2 linked regions of the Drosophila melanogaster genome follow. Each later gene encodes a partner of the first gene's protein in a complex. Each region holds a gene or a part of one and is shown on either strand. Other genes may lie near its edges. A codon is read from its position in the direction of its gene.

Region 1 (5,079 bases):
AGATATATATATGGATGTTGGGGTATATGTATATAGAATGTATCTTTCGGATACCAATTGCCATTAGTTTATTGAGAATCCGAAATTTATGGCTCTGCGTGTCGTGGCCAACCACGCACAAATGGTCACAAATCTGGACCTGAAACACATGTGGGCCTGCCTTTGGTTCCTCCAGCATCTGTGGCACGTACAAATTTCATTTGTTGCACTATTTATGTGCTTCTCCACTGATGAAAATGAAATCAAATTAAATTTTCGGCACAATTCAAAGTGAAATTTTGCAGCTAACATAAAACAAGGCAAATGAGGAATAAATCTCCCGATGTGTGTCCTGTGCGCTGGGTTTTCCCATGTGGGTACATTGAATGGGAAATTACTGGAATTTCCTTTCGGTCAGAATTACATGCGCATATTTCGGTAATATCTTTGAAATTTACAGTAAATCCTAGGTATTTGAAATGAAAAACACGGGCAGTGTGGCAAATGTGTATATTAATGCATCTTTGCGGGGAGAAGTAGCCATTATGTTGCCTATTAAGCTTATCCAGATTTGCGTTGCTTTGTTTGATTTGACGTAAAGTTATTTGCTTGGAAAGAAAACATCTTAAATCCTTGAAAATTGTGGTGTAAGCCTAGTAGTAAACATTAAAATTGTTGTTGTAATATTTCAACAAATTTATTTAAATTTCAAAGACTTTAGATAATTACCAATTGGGAAATGGAATCAACACAAGATTGCTATGAAAATTGTACATGAATTCAAAGATTATTCATAAGCATGTCCTAATTTTCCATACGCCGTGCATAATTACAGAAAACACAGTTGCAGAGGGATACGATTTCCATTTGCATTTCCCATTCCCCGTCCCTGTCGCACTTCACACGCTGCTCCCCCGGGAGCTATGTCCCATCCTTGTTCCGCATTAGCAGAACGCACTTCCACTTCATTTGAGTCGCAAGCGGCAGAGCGAGAGGGTAGATGTTGTGGAAGTGTGGTTTTAATTGGCACACAACAACAACAGCAAGCAGTCTGCTACGTGCTGGCAATTACATTTTACATTTTACTCAGAGAGAGAGACTAATCAACTAATAAATCCATAATCACTGTTATTACGTATGCTGCCTGAGATGCTTAGACTTTGAAGTTAACCGGTTAAACTTGGCTAACAAGAACTGAGAACTACTGGCCAACAACAACTGCCGGCTTTTCCCCCAAAAATGAAAACAAAACAGTAGAAGGCTCTCTTGCTCTACCACTTTCTCTTATACTCTTATACGAAGTACCTGTATTTCAACTGTTTTCCTCTCTCGCATGACTTTTATCGCATGCGATTTGTTTATAGTGCAACGACCACAGACACGAAGATAATTCGTGTGTCTCTCTCTTTTTCTCCCACGCATCTGTACCTTCGAACGGTATTTGTGGGGTAGAAGAAATTGCTCGACTTATTATATCGTTTGCCACTCAGAAGTTAGGGAAAGAATTTTATTTTTTATAAAAATCCTAGTCAACTAACATAAATCAACTGAAAGCTCGATTCCTCATATTATCACATTGTGTTATTGCTACAAGAACTGTTGTTCTAAAAATTCTTATCAGTACGTCAAAAATATAAAAAAATTTCGAGACTAGCATTTTTATCCAACTCATATTTATTTATAATAAGCTGATTATATATAAAACCCAAACAGCTTTATAGAAATAACTTCACACGTTATTTAAGGTTAAAAAAGTAGCAAGATAGGATGTTATTAAAAGTAGAATATAAAAAATATAATAATAATTTAAAATGTCTTAACAAACTGGAGCTTAAGGAACCAAAAGCAAACAAAATGATATAAAACATATAAAGACTGTGACAAAATTATTAAAATTTAAAATAAAATATATTAATAGGCTGATTACAAATTTAAGTAAATAATGTTTTCTATATTGAGCAAAGGGTATCTTGCCGCCGACTCAGCCACTCTCTCGTCTTTCCCTCCACACTAAGCGCACTACCAGCTCTTCATCTCTCAGTTCTTCTTTCTTTTCGAGTCGAGTTCAGTTTGTTCCGAATCGCCGACGTGAACGCACGCTTGTCGCGCTTGTAGCAGTTGGATTTTTGATTTTCCCAGCCAGAGTCCCGCGTTCGTGTGTTGTGGGCCGCTTTTGTTTGTCTCGTTTTGTGGCCAGCGATTTGGCAACCGAATAAGCCAAGTTAAGAGCAACGCTACGCAGCACAAAATCCATAAAAACAAGAAACACAAGGCGCAATTAAATGCAAATGTGTGAAAGTGTAGCAAGCATTTAACCAAAAATAAAATCGCAAAAAATCGCGGCTTCAAAGTGCGAACAAGCGCGAACAGAGAAGCTAAACAACAGTGCCAGTGCGTGTTTGTTCGTGGCAGCTTAAGAAAAGCCAAATAAATATTAATATTTGCACAAGAGATCGCAGCGGAGTAGCTAACCTCACATTTAATAAAACACGTATTAAAACGGTAAGTATTTACGTCTCCTTGTTCAGTTATTACACTTTGAACCGTGCCATCTCGCTCTGTCTCGTTATCTCCCATTCGATTTTGCTTTGTGCTAAGCTTCGCTTGGCTCGCGCTAAGCTCAGCTATCTCTGTCCCACTCTCTGATCAGTCCAATTCGCCTATAATTGCACAGAAAAAAATTTACCAAATTGATGGCTCATCGGGCAATTGGTTGACATTTTGTTCCAGTTTTGATCACAGTCAGATAAAATCAATTTAAAGTACATAAAATGAGCTGTAAAATATTTGTAAACATCTTTAAATTGATCTATTAATACTACTACTACTACTACTACTACTACTAGTACTCTGCGTAAAACCGTATTTTTTCCTGTGCAAATTGGCGATGAATAACAGTTTCAGCAGTTGTAACCGTTGCACAATTTTCCCCAGTGCTTGTGTGTGTCACACTCTTGTTGTCCACAATTTCCGTGGTTTTTCTCGGCACTTTCCAGGGAAATGTGCAAAATGCTGCAGTGCAGCAGCAAGTGCTCTTCGGCCTTGGGGTGTGCTTTGCGTTTTGGCCAACCCATGAACGAAACAAAAAAGAAAACAAAGCCACACGCATTTGGCCCAAAGCTCACGAGCCAGCATATTAACACTTTGAATTTTTGGCCAAAAACCAGTTTGGAATCGAAAAAACAAACAGACACAACAAAAGTTTATTTACTACCAAAGAGAGCTTCGTTCAACAGGTTTTCATTGCGGGGACTTTTATTCGTATTGAAGGTGGAAATACCTGGGTAATGCAGGTTTCAAAAGTACTTCTAACAAACCAGAAAATGCCCACTTGTGCTTTAAAAGCTAATAAGTTGCTGATTAGAAACAGCAAAACAAAATAAGAGAAGAAGGAAGGGACAAGAATCTTCTCGCTTGTACCAATTATGGTAAAAATCGTATGACCTTATGATAAACTTAGACTTTTGTTTTTAATTCATTTCGATTCTTCTTGGGTTTTCCAACACCATAAATCTCTTCTTAGTTGATAGCCCTTGACCACTAGCTACATTTATATGAAAAATTCGGAAAACCCCAAGATTCAACCCCAAAAGTTCAACGATTATCGCTCAGAAGCAGCAGGTCTTGAATTCAAGAACAATGCTGTTTTAACAATAATTATACAATATATATAAATTTTGATTGTATTTTTTTCCGATAGTTAACATCCTGCCATTGAGCTTCTTTCGCCTGAGGGTTTTCCGAATAACTGTACTCTGGATTTAGGTTAAGATTTTTCTTCTTTGGCCCACATCAAAGGCAAAGAAGCTTTCAAAGCGGCTATAACAATGGCGGCAAACTGAAAAAAAAAAATGCTAGTCTTCGTCTGTGAAGGTAAAACTGCGGAAGTCATTTAACAGTCTACTTAACTTCTGCCAAAAAAAAAAGAAGTGAACGAAAAAAATGAAGTGGAAAACGGCAAACTGCAAACGTTCAAGATGCTCCGCTTGGGTCTTTCGTCTTGGCCACGTTAGAAAGTAGCTGTAATTGTGGCTCCGTTATTGTTATGGCCAAACCGCCACTAGTCCAACTGCAGGCGGTAAAAGTTGCCCAAAATGAATTGTCATACAAACACGTTTGTTATAAATATTTCTGCACAATGAGAGACTCATTTAAGATTCATTGTACTCGCTTTTTTAGTTGTTAGCTTTATTTTTCCCCCTCTCATTATTGAGGGCGTTTGTCCACTCGGTTGATAAGCGAAAAGGCAGAAAAACAATATTCAAAGCTGACTCCGCTTTGGTTTTTACATCTGCCAAGTGTTTTTTAGCTTTCTGCTATTTCACTCTTAGTTATTGGCGACTTGTGTTGATAATTAGCACGTCGGCTTTCAGCGTTTCTATGACTTGTGGTCCGCTCAGCGTGATGAGTCAGCCTCCTAAGCTGAAAAGAGCGTTACGATCGAACCACCATATGTCTTACTCTCCCGATCTCAGATCAGCGGGCGGTTTAACCCAAAGTCAAACCAGATCCGTGACGTAAATGGGAGACAAATACACGCAAAAAAAAAACAAGACTGAAGATCTGAAGATTGTATCTATAAGATCTGTTATTAAAGTGATATGTAATTACATACTACATTCTTATATGATGACTATAATGACTAATATAAACACGTTTTAATATAGTACAAGTTTATATTATATAGCGTAATATCATACTTACCGTATTGTTATCACCTGTTTTTTTTTAACAACTCATTTCTTTTCGTGTGATTTCAACGTGTGAGGTTTTTTACTCTCCAATCAGATTGAACTGAGATAGAACTGCCTGACCAGTCACAGGGCTTATTGCCTTGCATTCAATTAATTAATTTCAATTTTATTGCTTCAGCTGACCATAAAATCGTGAAGGGAGGAATAACCATAAGTTCCCCACTGCGACATTCTCTCGGTGGAGGGAAATGAAGTCGTTGCACTTGCTTTCACCCTAATGCCTTCATCAGCTGCACAAACGAAAAATCTCATTAATTTTCCACTTTCTGTCTATCTTTGGGTTATCTCTCCATTGTTTGTCCCCGTCCCAGTTCCCTTTATGTTCTTACTATTTTTTTTTTTTTTT
Region 2 (7,357 bases), 270 kb from region 1:
ATACAAAATTGCATCATCATGCAATTTAGTTATCTACTTACACAGCCCCCCTTCATTGCATTTTATTACGTACTAATTGATAAAGAAATTCTTATGAATCAACAGTGCAGCTGATGTTTCTACGAAATGGCCTCAACTCAGTCATTGGTGCATAATTCGGGGGAAAGGCTATGCTATGAGTAGATATGGCCAAGTAAAATGCATTCTGCTAAGAAGTTCCCGTTTTTCCATGGCGAACGACATCCACTTTGGGCCATAAACATAAGCACACAAGGTAGATCCATTCAGGCACGACTGCGTCAGATGCCGTTTACATGGCGATTACTTGCAGTGTGCGACTTAAAGATGCGGTTTTTTGTCCGCCGTTCTCGGAAATACCAATTGAGTCACCATCTTTCCCAAGCGCCTCAGCACGCTCCAAGGCGGCGACTGGCGGGCTAATTTAAGCGATTCGGATCTGCGGCTCCCATGACGCGTGCGCCAACGGAACTGGCGTTTGCGGCACCCGTTCGGAATATCAAATGTGTTAGAAATATTAGATGGGCTCCAACGTGGGGATAGTTTCATTGGTGGTGGTGCCGAGAGCAGAGCAGTTGTGCTCCGCGAGCTTTGATGCCGAGCTTTGGCCCGGCACCACTTTTACTTTCAGCAGCAACAAGTGCTGGCCGGCACCTTCTCACAGGTCAACTTGACCGACTGTGAGAAGCCCTACACTTGGCTAACATGGGTTTAGCCCGATAGAGAAGGTGGTAATCAACCACCCACTTGCCACAAAGTTTGGTTATTTTCAGCTCGGGGAAATTTCTATATTTTCGGGCTACCTATAAACTTGTTTTCTTTCTGGATTTAAATAAAAGTGATAATTCAATCGCTGCTTCTTTAAGTATACCTAATAAAAAAGCAATAAATCTCTAATCGCGTATGTTCAATAACAAGCGGACAGATAATAGTTAATTACTAAAATGGGTCGACGAAAAGGGCAAATTTGTACATAAGTGTTTATTAAGTACAGTATTCATTATTTCAAACGGAAACTTAATCATCCAAAATGCAGCTTTGATTGACTTCCGCAGATAACAAAGCTCTGACTTCGAGGCATCCAAACATTACTCTGTGGCTGCTCTAACTTTTTCGTAATATTTGTTTTAAAAAATTTTGCGATAACGAAGTTAATTTTTGGTGTCAAATGCCACTCAAACGATATGTACATTTTATGCAAAGCTTTATGGCAACTATGCTGATTAGAATGAATAAAATGTTTGTATGGAATTAGTTTTTGAAAGTATGTTTTTAACTTATGTGTTAAAATAGTACAATTGAGGGTTTGATATTCTTCTTAAAGCTCCAGTGATTTGTATTTGGTTTAACAACAGATGTAATTAAAAACGTTAGTCATTATAGTGTTAGTTTGATGTGCACTTACTTTTCTCCAAGTGTAATATGATTCAGATAATTCCGACTGGTAAAGTTTTTCGTGAAGCAGGCGCAATTAGTAGCACTGCTCGGAGTCAGCTGTGATAAAATCGCGGTCCGCTCGCCCAGACGTCCCGCTCCCTCGCACGACCCTCGCGCTCACTACCCATCCCGCTTCCACCGCCTCTGACCGGCGGCGTCTCGCTCGCGCACAGCGCCCGCTCCCGCTCACACTCTCGCAAGCTAGCTTAAAGCTGCACTTAAGCACTGAGCAATTGTTTGGGGGAGCAGACGAGTCGAGTCGGCGGCCTCTGGGCTCCACTTTTCATTTTCAGTTGCCTCCCAGACGTGCGCTCTCGCTGTCGTGTGTTCTCGATCGCGAGAAATCCAAATCGAAATCGCAGTCGAAATCGAACTTGGTTAATGCTTAACACTCTGCATGCCCGGGAGATATGGTGAAACTCTCGATCTGACCGGAAAATCCCAGCGCGCGTCGCTATAAACACTTAAGATCGGTGGCAGATGGTATCGGGCTTGAGGTCCATAAAAGCGCATTCATCTCGAGCTTTTCGTGTCACTCAAAGACGGCGCACAGAGCCGAAAAGTTGAAGACTCACATATCCTGCGATCAGCTACTTGGATAGCCCATTGCCCAGTTGCAAGCCAAATCGGTTATAAACGATATCAATATCGCGGCATTTCATCAGAGCAACCAAATCGAACCGATCCGAAAACGGTTCCACTAAAGCGGCGAGAGCGAAACTAAAGTGAAAAGCAAACCGACTAATTGAAGTGTCTGTCTGTGTGTCTCGCAAACGTGCAAAGGAAACAAACAAAACGGAATAGCCAACATATCACACAGAGCCACCGCACAAAATATTTATAAATAAATAAGAGGCAACAGTAACACCAGCTACCAGTATAAAGGCCCGGCATTAACATTTAGTCGTGCCAGTTTGTTTATTTTTTATATACGCAAAGCCCATAAAAAGAAAAAAACGCACAGATCACTAAAAAACAACAGCAGCCGGCGCTATAATAACAAAGTTGTAGAAATAAGAAAATTGGTATAAGACGCCACCGATCCGCCAATCACCTGCTATATACTATTACTAATCCCCGACGCAGACGTTCGCCGTCCGCAGAATCTATATATATTTATAAATCCAATTGATTAAGCCCGAGATCGAGCATGATGACGCCCATGTGGATATCGCTGTTCAAAGTCCTGCTGCTGCTGTTCGCCTTCTTTGCCACGGTGAGAAATTTACAATTTTACAAATTTCAAAACAGTCGAACCTCCATAAGGGAAACTTTCAAAAGAAGTTAAAGTTTTAAAATTTAAAGATCTTTGCGTCGAAACAATAATTTATTCCAAATCTATCTAATCTGATAAAAGGTTAAAGTCTCCTTGTCTTCTTAAGACAAGCACTTAAGATCTTAAGACTCCAGAACTTGATTTTTTGTTTATTTGAAACAGGTGCTCGCTTGTTCCAGTTATGAAAGTTCGACTGCATTTCTGTTTTTTTCTGTTCCGTGTTAATCTATGCTTAACATAACTGTCATTTCATTGCAATATATTTCGGGCTATGGGCTTTTTAGCTATTAAGATTTATTTTAGATTTTCCATAGTTGTTCTAGCAGTTCCATTAGCCGAAGGGCAGTTTCAAGTTTAAATTTAGTCACAGACTAGAAAACCTGTTCGCATTGCCAGCGGCAGGTTATGTGCAATTTTCATTCTCTATATGATAAATGCACATCATAGGCATTACAATAATATTAATTGACACAAACAATGCCAGACATTCTGCACACGACTTTGGAAGTAATTTACTGCCGGACAAATTGTATGATCATCTCTGTGAGAAAAGCAATTAGTTCGTATTAATGGCGTCGAATGTTAGAAAATCCGTTTGAAAAGCGCCCGAGAACTTTTGTCTTTCCGGTTTTCCGCGAATTCCGCAGCGGACCGGTTCTAAAGATCGTTTTCAGTTCTAGCTAAATTCCAATAGGTTCACGGAAAACCTAAAACTGTGATGGAAAAACGATCCAATGTTTGCCTTAGTTGCGTCTACGCCAAACACTGATGAACGCGTTTAAAAAAAGGTTGATTGCTAATTGATTGGGAAAAAACATTTCCGAGAAATCGCAAAAGTTCTCAGACAATCAAGTTCAGATGGGTTGGCACCTTAAAGCGGGTTTTCTACATGCTCGTCGAGACCCAATTTTAATTTGGGTAAATTCTGTTGACGATTCCATGGACTCTATTCAAGAATTTAAGCATAATAAAAAGTCTTGACGAGATTAGGGGCTATTATCAAGGCTTATTTATATCACTGCATATACATATATATATAACATAGAAATATTTTAAAGAGTAGCACTAAAAGTGCTGATAATTCTAAAATCGCCAAGCTATTTGCATAATTATGGTCCTCGGATTATCAATACATTAAAAGCAACTATTGGCTTGTTCTTTTATATAAATAACCTTCCGGTTGGATTATGTTGATTTTTATTCAGGATCGGCTTGCCTTTAGATTTTCCAATTATTCAGTCTTTATTGCTTGCGGAAGAGGGACATCCGTTTTCAAGTTGCTAAGCTAGAGGCAACTCTCGAGGGGATTATCAACTCTGATTTTGGACTCTGGCTGTTGTTATATGTATATAGGTTCGGGTCCTAACTCAACGGAACTATAGAATTGCGAGAGAAAACTGCGCTTGCCCGAAAAACAGCTGTTCAAACCTTTTGAATACGCAAATGTAGTGCCCGACAATAGAGAGAGAGAGAGAGAGAAGTCTGGGTTGACAAACAAACGAGCCCGAGCACCGACCCACGAATATATACTCCGTTGTCTTGGCAATGTTGATGAACTGCAAACAAAACTCTCACCTGTATCTTTCAGATAGTTTATATCAATATCGAATTAACGAAGCGACACGAGGCCGAGGTGAGGGCAGAGAAAACAGTGGCAGACTATAAGGCCCTTTTGGCTACCATTAACAATGGCGGACCCGGAAAGTCAGCATCTAATCACTTACAGGTGTGAGCACAGTGTCCCCGAGTGTCCCGAAACAGACCCAGTTGTATCGTTATGCTTAACACCTTAATAGCCTTAATTTGTCTGTGGTGTGGTCAAAACTTCTGAACCGAGACTAAAGTCTATTGTCTTGTCTTTTTATTTCGCCATTTTTGCTACAGTACGAGGCCAAGGAGTATGAACGTATCATCAAAGAGCTTTTTACAATAACCAATGATGAGGGAGTTGTCCTCTTTAATGTAAGTGTATACATAGGCAAATGCATGATTTCTCTGTAAAATGTGTCTTTGATGTGAAACGCAATTCATAGCTTCAAGGACGAATTGGTGCGCTGCTTTCTTATAACTACTCTTCATCCTATATTGCATCCCCATTTCACTGCTCATTTGGTTTCTTATTGGGTTGTGTGTTGTCTTTGTGCTTCCTTTTTTTGCCAATTGGCTAAAGACTAACACGAGTAAATTTTACCCGTACAGACGTCCGCGGACAGTGCACCCTTCATGCCCATACCCACCCAGCACGACGATCCGACCCAGAAACAGAAACAGAATCAGAATCAATCTCCGATACCCGAAACGAACCGCCATTACCATCAGTATCACAGCCTGATCCAACCAGATCAGTACTTCAAAGTGCAGCGCTCCCCGAATGGAAAGCTGAATCTGGTCTTTAACGATACGTTCGTATCTTTGCAGAGGACGGACACGGAGGTGCAATCCGAACAGCCGATACCCCCCCGACATCCATCGGATAGTAAGTACTAAGTATTTTAGCCTATATATGCTCAGTTACATTCGATACCCAAACATGCCTTACAACTAACTACTAAATCGATCCCATACTCACTGGCCAACTGCCTTTGGCGCTTGCCTAATTTTAGCCTTTGTCTTCCCCGATTCCCCCATAGCCAAGTATCGGCCACCACAATCCCCAGCTCGTCCTTTGAGGAATGACACTAAAGAGCACAATCCCTGCGCCAAGGATGAAAGCCAACACCTTAGAAACTTCTGCACGAATGTGGACGACTATCCGGACCTTTCAGGCCTCACACATAAGCTAAAAAACAACTTTGCCAAGTTCTTTAGCAACGATCTTCAGCCCACGGATGTGAGCTCTCGCGTTGGTGGCTCAGACGAGCGATTCCTTTGCAGGAGCATCAGGAAGCTGGTGTACCCAAAAAAGGGCTTGAGGGCGGACGACACCTGGCAGTTAATTGTCAATAACGATGAGTACAAACAGGCCATCCAGATCGAAGAGTGCGAGTAAGTTATAGCTTGAATCTATGATATATTCCATTAGCCTTGCTAATTGCCAAACCTTCCCTTCCAGAGGAGCGGATCAACCCTGTGACTTCGCCGCCAACTTTCCGCAGAGCTATAATCCAATCTGCAAGCAGCACTACACACAGCAGACCCTGGCCAGCATCAAAAGTGATGGCGAACTGGACGTGGTGCAGAATTCCTTCAAGATCCCTTCCTGCTGCAAGTGCGCGTTGAAGACTGGGTGATTCTGGAAAATGGGATTCTCCAGTCGATGGCTGCGACAATGTGATATTGAGGTGAGGCCACGATTTATTCGTACATTAAATTTTAAAAATAGGTACAGAACAGAAACGACTGACTACCAAGAAGTAGAGGATTTCAATGAATCCTTGCGACTTAAGGCGAACGCTTCACTTGACCAACTTGCGCAGGGTCCAGCCGACGGCGTAGAATCCCACCAGCTTTAGGGCCATTCCCTTGCTTTCAGCCTTCACCAAATGCTTAAACTTGTTCTCGAAATTGCCAACGACGCGATCCATCGGAATGAGATAGTATAATGTCTGCAATTCAGAAGTCTTGAAAATATGTTCGAATGCGGATTTTCGAACTGTGCTTTATCAAGTATTGTACTTAAATTCAAGAATAATGTTTCTTGTGATTCGAAGAGTCAAACTTTTCAGACTGAGACTACAACTCTAAATATGTATACAGCTTCATTGACATTATTTCCTTGTTAACTAGACCAAAAATATAAATTGTATCTCTTCTCTTTGCAGCAAGAAGTTTCACCCACCACAGAATGGCAGGCCAAACTGATCAGTGGTCATTGATTTATTCTATAATCTGCTGAATCCACACATAGACCAATGTGCATATTAATTTAGAGCTTTAAGTCGAGTCATTTTAACCATATTCGTGTCATATATTCATTTTTGACTTCCACGTCTAATGCCTAAGCTAGAAATGCAAGTAATTAGTCCTAGAATAAAAACAAAACAAAACACAAAACACAAAAAAAAAAACAAGAAAGATAGAAATAACGATTTGAAAAATGTATGTTAAAAAAAGATAATGTATAATAAATGTATGCAAGTACATGCCAGCAAAGTAAAGTTCTTTGAACCCATCAGCGAGTACCTGGTGGACAATTTATTTGCTTATTAACAATAATTCGGTTCGCCCCGCTGCGCAAACCAATTACACCCTAGTGAGTGTAAACACATTCCCCCAAAGGGGTGGTGGTTGGCTTTCACCGGCAAAAGGATAACATGCATCGACTTCGGCTTCCTGGCGCTGGATTTTTCCAACTGTCAGCGGGGCGTATGCGCGATGTGTCTTGAGGTGCTGGCGCTGGCACATGTGGAAATCAATAGTATTTATCGATTCCCAGACACAATAAACTATGTCAAAGTTAGGCCGAACAATGCGAATGCTTGTGGATTCGTTGTGGGCGGGCAAAGTGCCACAATTTAATTACTATTATTAGGTATCCTTCCCGTTTGGCCAAATCCAGTGTCGTGCCCTGGTCGATTGGGCATTGGCCAGGGTCATCAATCATGCACATCCCCAACAGCCACACACAGCCGCGTCCATATCAATTAGCAACTATCCATATATCTCCGCCCACCGATTTTATATATG

The links.
Region 2: the proteins of Tl (region 1) and spz are in contact, whole or in part, in a crystal structure (PDB 4BV4), measured with the Drosophila melanogaster proteins. Residues at the interface, in NP_524518.1 of Drosophila melanogaster: Gln44, Ile48, Met49, Glu51, Glu53, Glu61, Arg66, Thr68, Tyr74, Gln76, Met78, Arg101, Gln103, Arg105, Arg106, Glu133, Arg154, Arg156, Glu180, Arg182, Ser206, Trp229, Ser230, His253, Asp254, Asn275, Ser277, Ala278, Met301, Asn302; in NP_524526.1 of Drosophila melanogaster: Val221 (codon at 5,574), Gly222 (codon at 5,577), Gly223 (codon at 5,580), Ser224 (codon at 5,583), Asp225 (codon at 5,586), Arg227 (codon at 5,592), Arg231 (codon at 5,604), Ser232 (codon at 5,607), Ile233 (codon at 5,610), Arg234 (codon at 5,613), Lys235 (codon at 5,616), Leu236 (codon at 5,619), Tyr238 (codon at 5,625), Gln263 (codon at 5,700), Glu268 (codon at 5,715), Asp275 (codon at 5,803), Phe276 (codon at 5,806), Ala278 (codon at 5,812), Asn279 (codon at 5,815), Phe280 (codon at 5,818), Pro281 (codon at 5,821), Gln282 (codon at 5,824).

Annotation. Positions count from the first base shown.
Region 1 is NT_033777.3:26,797,000-26,802,078, forward strand, and holds the start of Tl (toll), read left to right. Parts: upstream 1-2,041; 5' UTR 2,042-2,481; intron 2,482-5,079. UniProt on the Drosophila melanogaster protein: Receptor for the cleaved activated form of spz, spaetzle C-106. Binding to spaetzle C-106 activates the Toll signaling pathway and induces expression of the antifungal peptide drosomycin.
Region 2 is NT_033777.3:27,064,458-27,071,814, reverse strand, and holds spz (spatzle), read left to right. Parts: upstream 1-1,744; 5' UTR 1,745-2,605; coding exon 2,606-2,671; intron 2,672-4,319; coding exon of another isoform or gene 4,320-4,457; intron 4,458-4,615; coding exon 4,616-4,693; intron 4,694-4,930; coding exon 4,931-5,207; intron 5,208-5,334; coding exon 5,335-5,716; intron 5,717-5,783; coding exon 5,784-5,961; 3' UTR 5,962-6,012; exon of another isoform or gene 6,013-6,126; coding exon of another isoform or gene 6,127-6,255; exon of another isoform or gene 6,256-6,379; intron 6,380-6,492; 3' UTR 6,493-6,727; downstream 6,728-7,357. Other genes in the region: CG43935 (uncharacterized protein), read right to left, coding at 6,127-6,255. UniProt on the Drosophila melanogaster protein: The activated form, spaetzle C-106, acts as a ligand for the Toll receptor. Binding to Toll activates the Toll signaling pathway and induces expression of the antifungal peptide drosomycin.